Drosophila melanogaster: one gene and its partners. The protein of the gene in region 3 interacts with the protein of the main gene of each other region in a pairwise test. Each region holds a gene or a part of one and is shown on either strand. Other genes may lie near its edges.

What was found.
Region 1: the proteins of Met75Ca (region 3) and Phm interact in a two-hybrid assay, tested with the Drosophila melanogaster proteins (one large-scale study listed by BioGRID).
Region 2: the proteins of Met75Ca (region 3) and Ddr interact in a two-hybrid assay, tested with the Drosophila melanogaster proteins (one large-scale study listed by BioGRID).

What each region holds. Positions count from the first base shown.
Region 1 is NT_033778.4:23,986,505-23,990,264, reverse strand, and holds the start of Phm (Peptidylglycine-alpha-hydroxylating monooxygenase), read left to right. Parts: upstream 1-1,809; 5' UTR 1,810-1,962; coding exon 1,963-2,151; intron 2,152-2,589; coding exon 2,590-2,647; intron 2,648-2,710; coding exon 2,711-2,798; intron 2,799-2,855; coding exon 2,856-2,928; intron 2,929-2,956; exon of another isoform or gene 2,957-2,981; coding exon of another isoform or gene 2,982-3,545; exon of another isoform or gene 3,546-3,650; intron 3,651-3,760. Other genes in the region: Pask (PAS kinase), read right to left, coding at 1-1,278, 1,347-1,434; CG30178 (uncharacterized protein), read right to left, coding at 2,982-3,545. UniProt on the Drosophila melanogaster protein: Monooxygenase that catalyzes an essential reaction in C-terminal alpha-amidation of peptides. Produces an unstable peptidyl(2-hydroxyglycine) intermediate.
Region 2 is NT_033779.5:6,251,172-6,254,931, forward strand, and holds the start of Ddr (discoidin domain receptor), read left to right. Parts: upstream 1-1,951; 5' UTR 1,952-2,158; intron 2,159-3,760.
Region 3 is NT_037436.4:18,471,504-18,473,922, reverse strand, and holds Met75Ca (Met75Ca), read left to right. Parts: upstream 1-1,538; 5' UTR 1,539-1,558; coding exon 1,559-1,714; 3' UTR 1,715-1,780; downstream 1,781-2,419.

The DNA of each region.
Region 1 (3,760 bases), on a different chromosome or scaffold from region 3:
AGGCATCACAGGTCTCCGTGGACGCGGACTTCGCCTTGTCAAGGGACGACTCATTCACCTGCGACTGCGATCCTACCTCAAACTCGTCAGCGGGGAAACTGTTTGAGGCATTTACAGGTGTTAGAATGTCATCTATTGTACAATCATCTGGCTGGCGGAGGTCGCAGAATAGACCACTGCTGTTCTCCAGATTGCAGCTTAGGTGGGCATCGCCCACCGAAGACTGTTCGTTGTTGGGCGCCGTCCTGTTAGTCGAGCTCTTCTTGCAGGATTGCAGCGAGGAGTCGTTGTCCACGACGAGGGGATCCGTGTCCGGCTCCCAGTCGTTACTGGTTATCGAGGTGTTCGAAACATTCGGACTCTTCTCCTCGCGAGAGTCCTTGCCGAAATTGGGTAGGATCGCCGATATATGCATGTTCATTATCTTGTCCTGACCATATCCGAACATTAGCAGCGAGAAAGGCTGGTTGCACATCAGTATGTTGCCTATGTCATCTACCACAATCAGGCCACTAAGATTCTGGAACACCCAGACGGTGATATTTAGACCGGTTTTTCCCGAATGGGAATACCCCGCAGAAGCATCCTCGTCCAGGGCTATTAGCAAGCACAGGGGAAACTTTACGTTATCCGTAGTTCGACCAGTAGCTCTCTGCTTCCGCAGGCTCTTGGGGATCTCACGGCTATCCGGATCGGGCAGCTTTATAAACGGGATAAGGGTGACAATGCTGACACCCACCACGCTTTCGACGGATTCATAAAAGAATATGGTGGCCGTGGTGGAGTCAACGGATGTTATCACTCCGGATCTATCGGTGCTGATGTGGCAAATATGCCTCTCCACAGGCTCCGCGACGGCTATGTGTCGGCCATCGCTGCTGATCTGCCGGATCCAGAGAGAGACCAGGATCTTGCCGCCCGACTTGGTCTTCATCTCGATGACCTTTCCACTTAGCAGGACGACCCGGCCCTCATCGCCTTCGATCTGCATCTCCGCCAGGGAGGAGATGTGGCTCTCTGTCTTGCCGTTAAGCAGGTCGAAGAATCCCTTGTTCCTCAACTCCTGCGACGTGTAGCCCAGCAGCTGGCAGGCCTTGTTGTTCACTATAAAAATTTGCCCTGTGTTCGCGTCGATTGTGAATATCGCCTTGTTCGGGTTGATCACCTTTGAGGAGTGCAGATTGGGGGGGGGCATGCTGAAGGAGCTGGCGTCCATCATGTTCAGCATGCCGGACGAGTTCTGGCGACTCTGACTGTGGCTGCCCATAATGGGGTCATCTGGGAATTACACGATTTTTTGTAAATAATTTAGTACCGCTCTTGAGTGTACATCTATATAGCTTTACCATTAGCACATCGGTTTCTGGAGCACTGGGCATTCGAACTACTCAGCTTACCAGCGGCTTGGTCTGTCACGTCGCCCTGATCCTCCATTTAAGCGTCGTATGTTTTCCAAGTCCCAGCGGTTCCAACTCGAGGCCTACAGCTACAACCAAATGAGCGCACCGTAAACATTGGGAACTCTGCTCGTAGAAAATCAATTGAATGGCGCATGCGAAAAGGGGAATTCCCCAGTGGGTCGAACGGAACGCAGACACGTTGAATTGGGCTGGCTTTTGTGGGGTTTCCTTTTGCGTTGAGGTGTCTTTAAATCACTGTATTCGAAAGGTTGAAAATTACACTTGGTTTTATGTACTTTAATGCGAACAAGTTATATATATTTGAATGTCCCGCTAACCCTTAGCCTGCAGCCCTGGCGCCGTCATCGATATAATGGCTCTGGGTATCGATTGCTGCCTAGAACGCACTTACTTACATATAAACTGGGCCTAGCTACGTGTGGAAAAATATCGGAGAGAGCAATACAAAACGTATTGTTCTTCCAAACAGGAAGGTTTTTTTTCGTTTTCCACAAAGTATTCAGTGCAGTGCACACTCGAATATAGTTCGAATACGGTGAAAATGCCACGCATATCCGAAATAGCCGCTTCCGTGGGGCTGCTCCTGCTTATCGGAGTGATCAGTGTGGATGGCCTTGTGAAAGAGGGGGATTACCAAAACTCCCTTTATCAACAGAATCTCGAGTCGAACTCCGCAACAGGCGCAACGGCTTCGTTTCCATTCCTGATGCCCAACGTTTCGCCCCAGACCGTAAGTCCAGGTTCCTGAAAAACGCCATACATATACATCATGGAGTTCGCTCCATATGGATGAACAGATTCGCCCAGCTGCAGCTGTGCGCATACAATTCCAATCAGATTAGAAAAGTCCTCGATATAGGCTCTGGTTTTTCCCGTATCTTCCGCGCGGGGAAAACCCATAAGAGTACTGTGCAAATTTTTCCATATGTTCAGTTGTACCCGAATACACACAATTCGCCACCCACATGTAAGGCCCTGAAACCGAAACCTGTAGATTGCACTTCTCGAACCTGCGCCGTAGATACGAATTTGTTTTTACGAGGGTGGCGAAAAAGGGCAAACGGCCCACTGAAGGCCATACTCCCATTTGAATAATACTTGTTGACTTATCCAATATGCCTGTTCTCTCTAACAAAACTAACAAATATATATATGTGTACATATATAGCCCGATCTGTACTTGTGCACGCCCATCAAGGTCGACCCAACTACCACCTACTATATTGGTACGTCCTTTCGAATGAGATTCATTCCTTAAATACTTCAACTAACCTTTCTATCTTAAATAGTTGGCTTCAATCCTAATGCCACGATGAACACGGCCCACCATATGCTGCTCTACGGATGCGGAGAGCCCGGAACCTCGAAGACCACCTGGTGAGTTGCAAGTGATGTTTTCAGACTAGTAAATAACACGCACATTTTTGCTCACAGGAACTGTGGCGAGATGAACCGAGCTTCCCAAGAAGAGTCTGCCAGTCCTTGCGGACCCCACTCCAATTCCCAGGTATTAAAAGAAAAAGAAATGTCCAAATAGGCCCCCAGATAGACACCACACATTTATTGGGCCGACAAATTTCGGGGACTCGGGACTACAGTTTGGCAGGCTGCGCAAATGGGTTGACCGTTCTCGATCCAGAATTCCCGTGCGCTGATCCTTTTGCGGCAGTGGTGGCACTTAAAGCACTTGGCATGCCACTTGGTGCTCAGCGCGACCACGGCTCGACGATCGATTGGCTTCTCACAGCCTGCGCAGCGGGACGAAAACAGTTCCCGGAAGTGCGCCTTGCAGAACAGGTATCCGTTGACTTCAAAGAAGCTCGCCGAGACCAGCGACTTGCTGCAGCTCACGCACCGGAAACACTTTTCGTGCCACTTGCGCTCCGCAGCAGCCACGCCGCGCTCTAGGATCGGAGTCCGGCAGGCGGAGCACCGAGCGGCATGCTTGTCCAGATAGCACTCGCTGCAGACCACGTCGTCGTCCACCGCGAAAAACAGTTTAGGATCAACCACCAGGCCGCACTCCTTGCAGGTGAAGTGGTGCGGATGGTACGTCTTACCCAAGCTGCAAACTGCCCGTGGCCAAATCTTCTCGTTGCATCTGCAGCAAATTGAAGCGGACATACTAGGCAGCTTTCTGATAGACAAATTATAAATTTTAAGGAAAAATCGGAAAGATAGTTTTAAAGTCAAATTTTGTCTTGTTCTTGACACAAAAATCGAACTCATATATAGTAACATTTCAAAACGATTGATGTGGCATATGAATAAAGATCGAAATGCGCGGATAATTAGGAGTTAACTGGCTAAGTTTTAATAGGTCAATCCTTGACAGTCAG
Region 2 (3,760 bases), on a different chromosome or scaffold from region 3:
CATCAATCTGTTTTCCCCCTTCTGCATTAAGTCAACAATTTGATATGCATTTTGTTTTGTTGCTGCAAACACATTGCTCTCTGTCTTAGTGGGTTTTGGAATTTTCAAAGTTGCCTTAAGCCCCCGTGCTGCAACTTTCTGACAGCCGGTGATTGAATGTTTGGCAACGACATCGGGGATTAACTCGGCAGTTATCCTTATCAGCAGTCCGATGCCACCGGGGCCATTCAGACGCTCGTTGGCCAGACATGGCCCTAATTGAAGTGGCAACTTGCTTTAAACTAATTCCCGGCGATACACGCTTCAGCCATATGTTTATTCAGAAAGTGTGCCTGTGCAGATAAAAGGTATAAGATGAATTTGTTATTGAATAATGTCAAAATCGCATAGCCTTGCTAATTTCTTGTACATAATCCCTAAACGCAAAATTAAGCACATGTGTGTAATTTATTTGCTTAATTTTAATGCATTTTTGGTGTCACATTTCTTGGGTCTTTTATTAAGATTGACTACGCATAATAATTAGAGAGTTTAAACATTACGTTTTTGTTGCACAAAAAATGTTGTAAAAGCTAACAACATTTAACTGCATTTGATACAACAAAATTAAACCAATGTAGGTTTTCTATTTTAAGGGCTTTGCCTTGAGCTCTTGTGTATTTTTGAGATACATTTTACTTTATATAAAACGTAGATATTGATTTTTCTGATTAATAAATAGACAACTGGTTTCCAAGCAAATAAAGAAATTTAAGAATCGAGGCAATATTTAAGGATGTAAATGCGCAAAAGCCTTTAGGGTTTTACTCTCTGTTTGAATAAAATGTCATAAACAGCAGCCCACTTAATTAAATATTGGTTACTTGCATCTTTTGATATTTATTTTTTCCTCTTAGTTGCGACAATTTTAAAGTCTTTGTTGTTATCTTTTTTACATTTTTTTTATGATATCATTTTTTTTTACACCTCTCATACTCGAGTTATGAATATTGTAAAGGTAGAAAAATAAACTCCATTACTATATTGGTTAATGAAAGTTGAATACATTTCGCGGTGCCATGTTGCTTTACTTTGTTAAAACTTTTTTAAAAAAAAGTTGCATTCGCTTCCGTTCAGGATAATTAATTTTTTCGATAGCCCATTTTGATTTTTTCCATAATAACTCTTTTGCTGGCCGAAAACTTTTGTAGTTGTTTACATGACCCCCATCCCCCCCGCGGAGTTCAGCTGTTAGGATCCACAGCTCCTTATTTACCTTATGTAAATGTAAATGCTTATCAACAGGCAGCCGCGCTCCGTCTTATACGACGAAACAACGAGAGTCGAAGAGAGCGGAGCACGCTCTTAAATTGCAGAACTCTCTGATACAGTTCAAGTTAATACAAAGTAACGTTGAGTTTGTTTTGTTTGTGTGGGCGGGCTGGGCGGTGAAAGGTGAAGCAGGTCCAGAAATGTAATCAATAATTTTAAATATTTAATGCGCTAGCGAGAGAGTTTTTCCAGAAAAGTTGTGAAAAGAGGTATTTTCTTTTCAAAAACTATCTTAGCAAATGTGTCCAGTTTTGTATTCAATTTTGCATCAGAAACTATGTACCTTTATTTGTATTTACAAGCCAGAATTATGGACTCACCTGTGCCAGCAACAACTCACCTCCCCCTCACACAACCTACTCATACTTTTCTCATCAAACAAATGGGATCCACATGCGAGCGAGTTTGCGCCAATGATGAAAGAGAGTGGCGCTCTTTTAACCTACTCTTTCAAGTACTCTTTGCGACAGCAGGAAACGTCGCGCAAGGAAATCGCAAATGTTTCCTCTTTCGTGTGCATGTGTGTGGTGTCCTCCGTGCTGGTTCGTCTGTGTGCGTGTGGATGACATTGTGGCACTCGTTGAGGCAGCTCCAATTGACGGGCCAGTAGTCGTTGCGAAACTTTTGCTGGAGCAACGCGTCGGACAACTGGCGGTGTTGCACCTATCGTTATCGGCCATCGGCAATCGATTGTCGGCAATCGGCTATCGACAACAAACTATCGTTATCGGTTATCGTGTGTGTCGACCTTGGTGGTGATTAGTGTTAACGGTAACTTAACCATGTGCAACATCATCAAGCGAATATTGGATCATCCGCAGGACTCCAAAGGCCTCCGAATGTCCAGGTGAGCCCGTATGCTTTTCCACCCAGTTTTGCCACCCTGGCGACCCGCTTGCCACCACGAAAATTAACCTCGTTTGGCTTAAATGTAGTTAACTAAAGTTAAACGACCTCTAATGTCGATTTAATTATGTGAAAATAAAAGTTATGATTTCGTTTTTCGGCTTTTAGCTCATCTTAATGGGGTGATTAACGGTAATTCGCATGGTCGGGACGAATCCAATAAAAAGTTTAAGAAGTAATTGAAACTAATTAAAACTATGCTCACCGAAATATGCACCTAATATTTGCTAACAGCTTTATGATGCCATTAAAGACCGGCCAAAATTTGAGGGGGAAAAGTTGGCGGCGGCCAATCAAATTTGAGTGCTCCAACTTAAAATTAAATTATTTTGCTCTACTTTAACTTACATAACTCAAACCACTAATTGCTAACAAAACAATTTCAAATGGAGCTCATAAACTAAATCTTTAGTATTTCGCAGTGCCTGCAAATTCGACTTAACTTCTTACATGCCAAAATGCCATAATTATTGTGATTGTTAAAACGAACTAATGGATTGATTATAGCTATTCACAGCTCAATAGTTGAGGTTTAATGGGGACCTTGAAGTTATGATAATGAAATGTCTGATTAAGTGATAGATACAAAGCGCATAGTTCGGGCAACAAAAGGTAGCAAACCGTTTTAGCGCCTGAAAAACCCGCAGGCATTAAGATACCAGCTCAGATAGGCGTAGAGGTGATCGTGGGAACGAACTTTGACCCCTGCCAGTGCATTCGTTTTTAATTAAATGGAAGAGTGGACAGTGGAGGCCAAAAGTGACTTTTGAAATGGTCAGGCAGATAAAAGTGCAATAACTATAAAGCGAGGGTGGCGCAAACGCTATCGGCAGTCGGATCCTGGAGGTCGTGGACTGGGCGAACCCAAACACGCACAAATTTGTTAAGCGGGTCACGTAGTCCGGGAAATCCCATGCCATCCTAGCCAGCCCCTCTGGGTGTTGTCATCAACACGAAAATAAAAATAGAAAATTAAACTTGAAACGCGCAAAATGGCTACAAATGCTCTTGCTCTGCGCTGTGAAAATCGATTTCAATAAACTTTAATTCGTTTTCGTTTTCCCCACTGAAGTCATCGGATGTGGAAACCTTGAAAATGACGCAACAAATTAAATGCCAATAATTTAAAACAATTGCGACTCGAAATGCCAAGTAAAAGCAACCTTAAAAAGCGACCAGAGCGAGATAGCGTTTTGTTTATGGCTTTTAAATCTAATTAAATTCCCATAAAGACCGCGAGCGATATCAAAAAACAGCGCTGCACGTAGAGTAAATAAATAAATAAAAAAAAATGATTTTAAACTTCAAACGGGTTCAACGACTACCAAGCCCCGCAAATAATTGAAAAAGACAACTAGGGGGCGGAAAATGCAAAACGGCGATGGGCAACAAAGGGTTAATGTGGTGCAGTAAAGTGCGTGTGACAGTCCACGAGGGCAAACTAAAAAGGGGTTGATGTAAATTGCACTAATGACCTGCATTTTGAGTTTGAACAGCGATTCATAATTTAGCCAAATGATTCGTCGAACAGAAGGTGGGAACT
Region 3 (2,419 bases):
TGCGTAGCGTAATTAAGTTGATGCCACGCCCAATTCGATAACCTAAACCTATTCGGGCGTCCACTACCTGCCCACGCCATCCGCCCCCCAAATGATCCAGTTTTATGCCACCTGACGTCGCCTCGCGATGTGTATGCAAATACATTATGCGAACTGCTTTCGAGCTGGCTTAAATTAATTTATCACGTGCCAAAATAAAGCAACTACCGGTGGCTTCCCCCCTCTGCATTTTTCGTGTAATTAATTAAATTCGAGTCGGAGGAGCTCCTAAAAGTTCGCCACGAACAAAAATTGTTTGCTTCGCTAAAGTTTAAGTTGTGCTCTTAAAAATTAAGTTCTTCTTTTGCAATTCCGGGGCATAAAGCTATCCGCTTACACATAATGGCGCCCCACATTCGGGCGCCCCATGTGCCCTACTCAAGTCCAACTTTCTGGGTAATTATGTCTCCATGTAAGCTCCGGGCAGCAGTCGTCACTCAGCTGGGTTTTACCGATTTTCCGATTTTCCGATTTTCCTTTTCGGCTTTTGCTTTCTATCCGAAAAGAGGAATATTAAGTATTCATTGGGAAACGCAAGAGAAAATCGGTTGAAGTGGTTGCGGGAAGTTGCCGAAAGGCAGCGTTCGTCATTTCAAATTGAATTTTTAATTTTTAAATACTTACCAACTGGCGAAAAAGAGTTGCAACTATAATGCATGGCAAAACTGTGAAAAACGTCAATGGCACTTCCAATCTAAATAAGTAATTTTTTAAAGCTTAAGTAAGGGATTTATCAGTAGACCAAATTTTGTAAACTTTTGTTGGGTAAATTGATTCTTATAAAAAGGTATTATGGGAAAAACTGAGACTTAAGGAAATTAATTACAAAGCTCATTGATACAAATTTTCAACAGTTATTATTATTGAAACACATATTACAAGTTTTCTAAAGTCTCTTAAAAAGACTAAACACACTAAAACAAATTAGGCCAAGGCAAGGTAAATGGGATCTTAGTTAAATTAGTTATTAGCTAAACTAACTTTGCAAATCCCATTTGTAATGTAATGTAATCGATGCAAAGCTAAAATAACTATTTATTTACTGAACACAGCCCGTAAAAAGTGCGTATTGAATTTCCTTCGATGTGCGAAGTGCAAGTGATTAAACAAGTAAGTGCGGAGTATTACATGTGATGATGTGGTGCTTGACGGGAACTCAATTCTCTTGGCAAGTTCAAACAGAAATCTAATTTAAAGCGGCTAGAAAGACTGAAGAGATCTGAAGAGAGACGGGTGGGAAAATGGGTAATGTGTGTCTGTGGACTGCTCATTTCGCTTGTTTACGCATCCAACTTGCCATCAAGCATACGCCAAGTGAGCCATCGCAACAGAAAGGGTCATCGGAGAAATGTTAAACTAGAGCGAACAGCTTACGTAAGTGATGGGATTTAAATGCCGGAAAAACTTAAATGGCAAGCTTAACGCCGTATCACGTAGCATCCATATTAATTGCAACGTGTAGTCGGGTATAAATAGCTCACTACCTGCCACAGCCGATCATTCAGCACTACTCGACAAGATGAACGTATTCAATGGTTTCTTGCTAGTCTTCCTGGGCCTGGCCCTCAGCTCTGTGGATGCACAGATAGCAACACGCCAGGAAACCTCGGAGGACAAGGCTTGTGGTCCCCACGCCTACTACAATTACGCCCGGCACACTTGCCTGCCATTCTAGGAACCTTTCCAAAGTGTCCTATGCCTAAAGAAATAAAACGTTAAGGTACTAAATGTACCAGAAATTAATACGCGATGTTTAAGTTAAACGGGAAAAGAGGGTGCAGCATAAAAAGAGTGGACATTACATTAATGGTAATTCTATCCTTTTGGGAGATGCTTAAGAAGAAGATCATTTACAATACTTCTTACTGTTCAGAACCATCGATTTAGGTTAAGAAAATAACTAGATTTCTTATTATGAATGAATTGGTAAGCTCAATGGGCCATTATTTGAACGACCTTCAGCAGCTACCTCATCCACACCATGACTCCGAGGAAATGTTGGCAATACGTGGAAGAGCTTTCTTGAATGCACAACTTTATGCCCCTTTCACTGCTTCGCTAATTAATTCACCCCTAAGAAGAACGGTTTCCCAGTCCCAGGAAGCTGCATCATAAACCAACTTGTAATGGCGACTGCAGTCAGGCCAACGACTCTTATAAATGATTCTTAGAAAAAGGTATTATTGGAAAAACTGAGGCTAAAGGAAATTATTTACAAAGCTCATTGATACAACTTTTCAACAGTTATTATTATTGAGACACATATTATACATTTTCTAAAGTGTCTTAATTAATTTTAGCTAACTCAAAACACTAAAACAAATTAAGCCAAGTCAGTGTAAATTGGATCTTAGTTAAATGAGTTATTTGCCAAACTAAC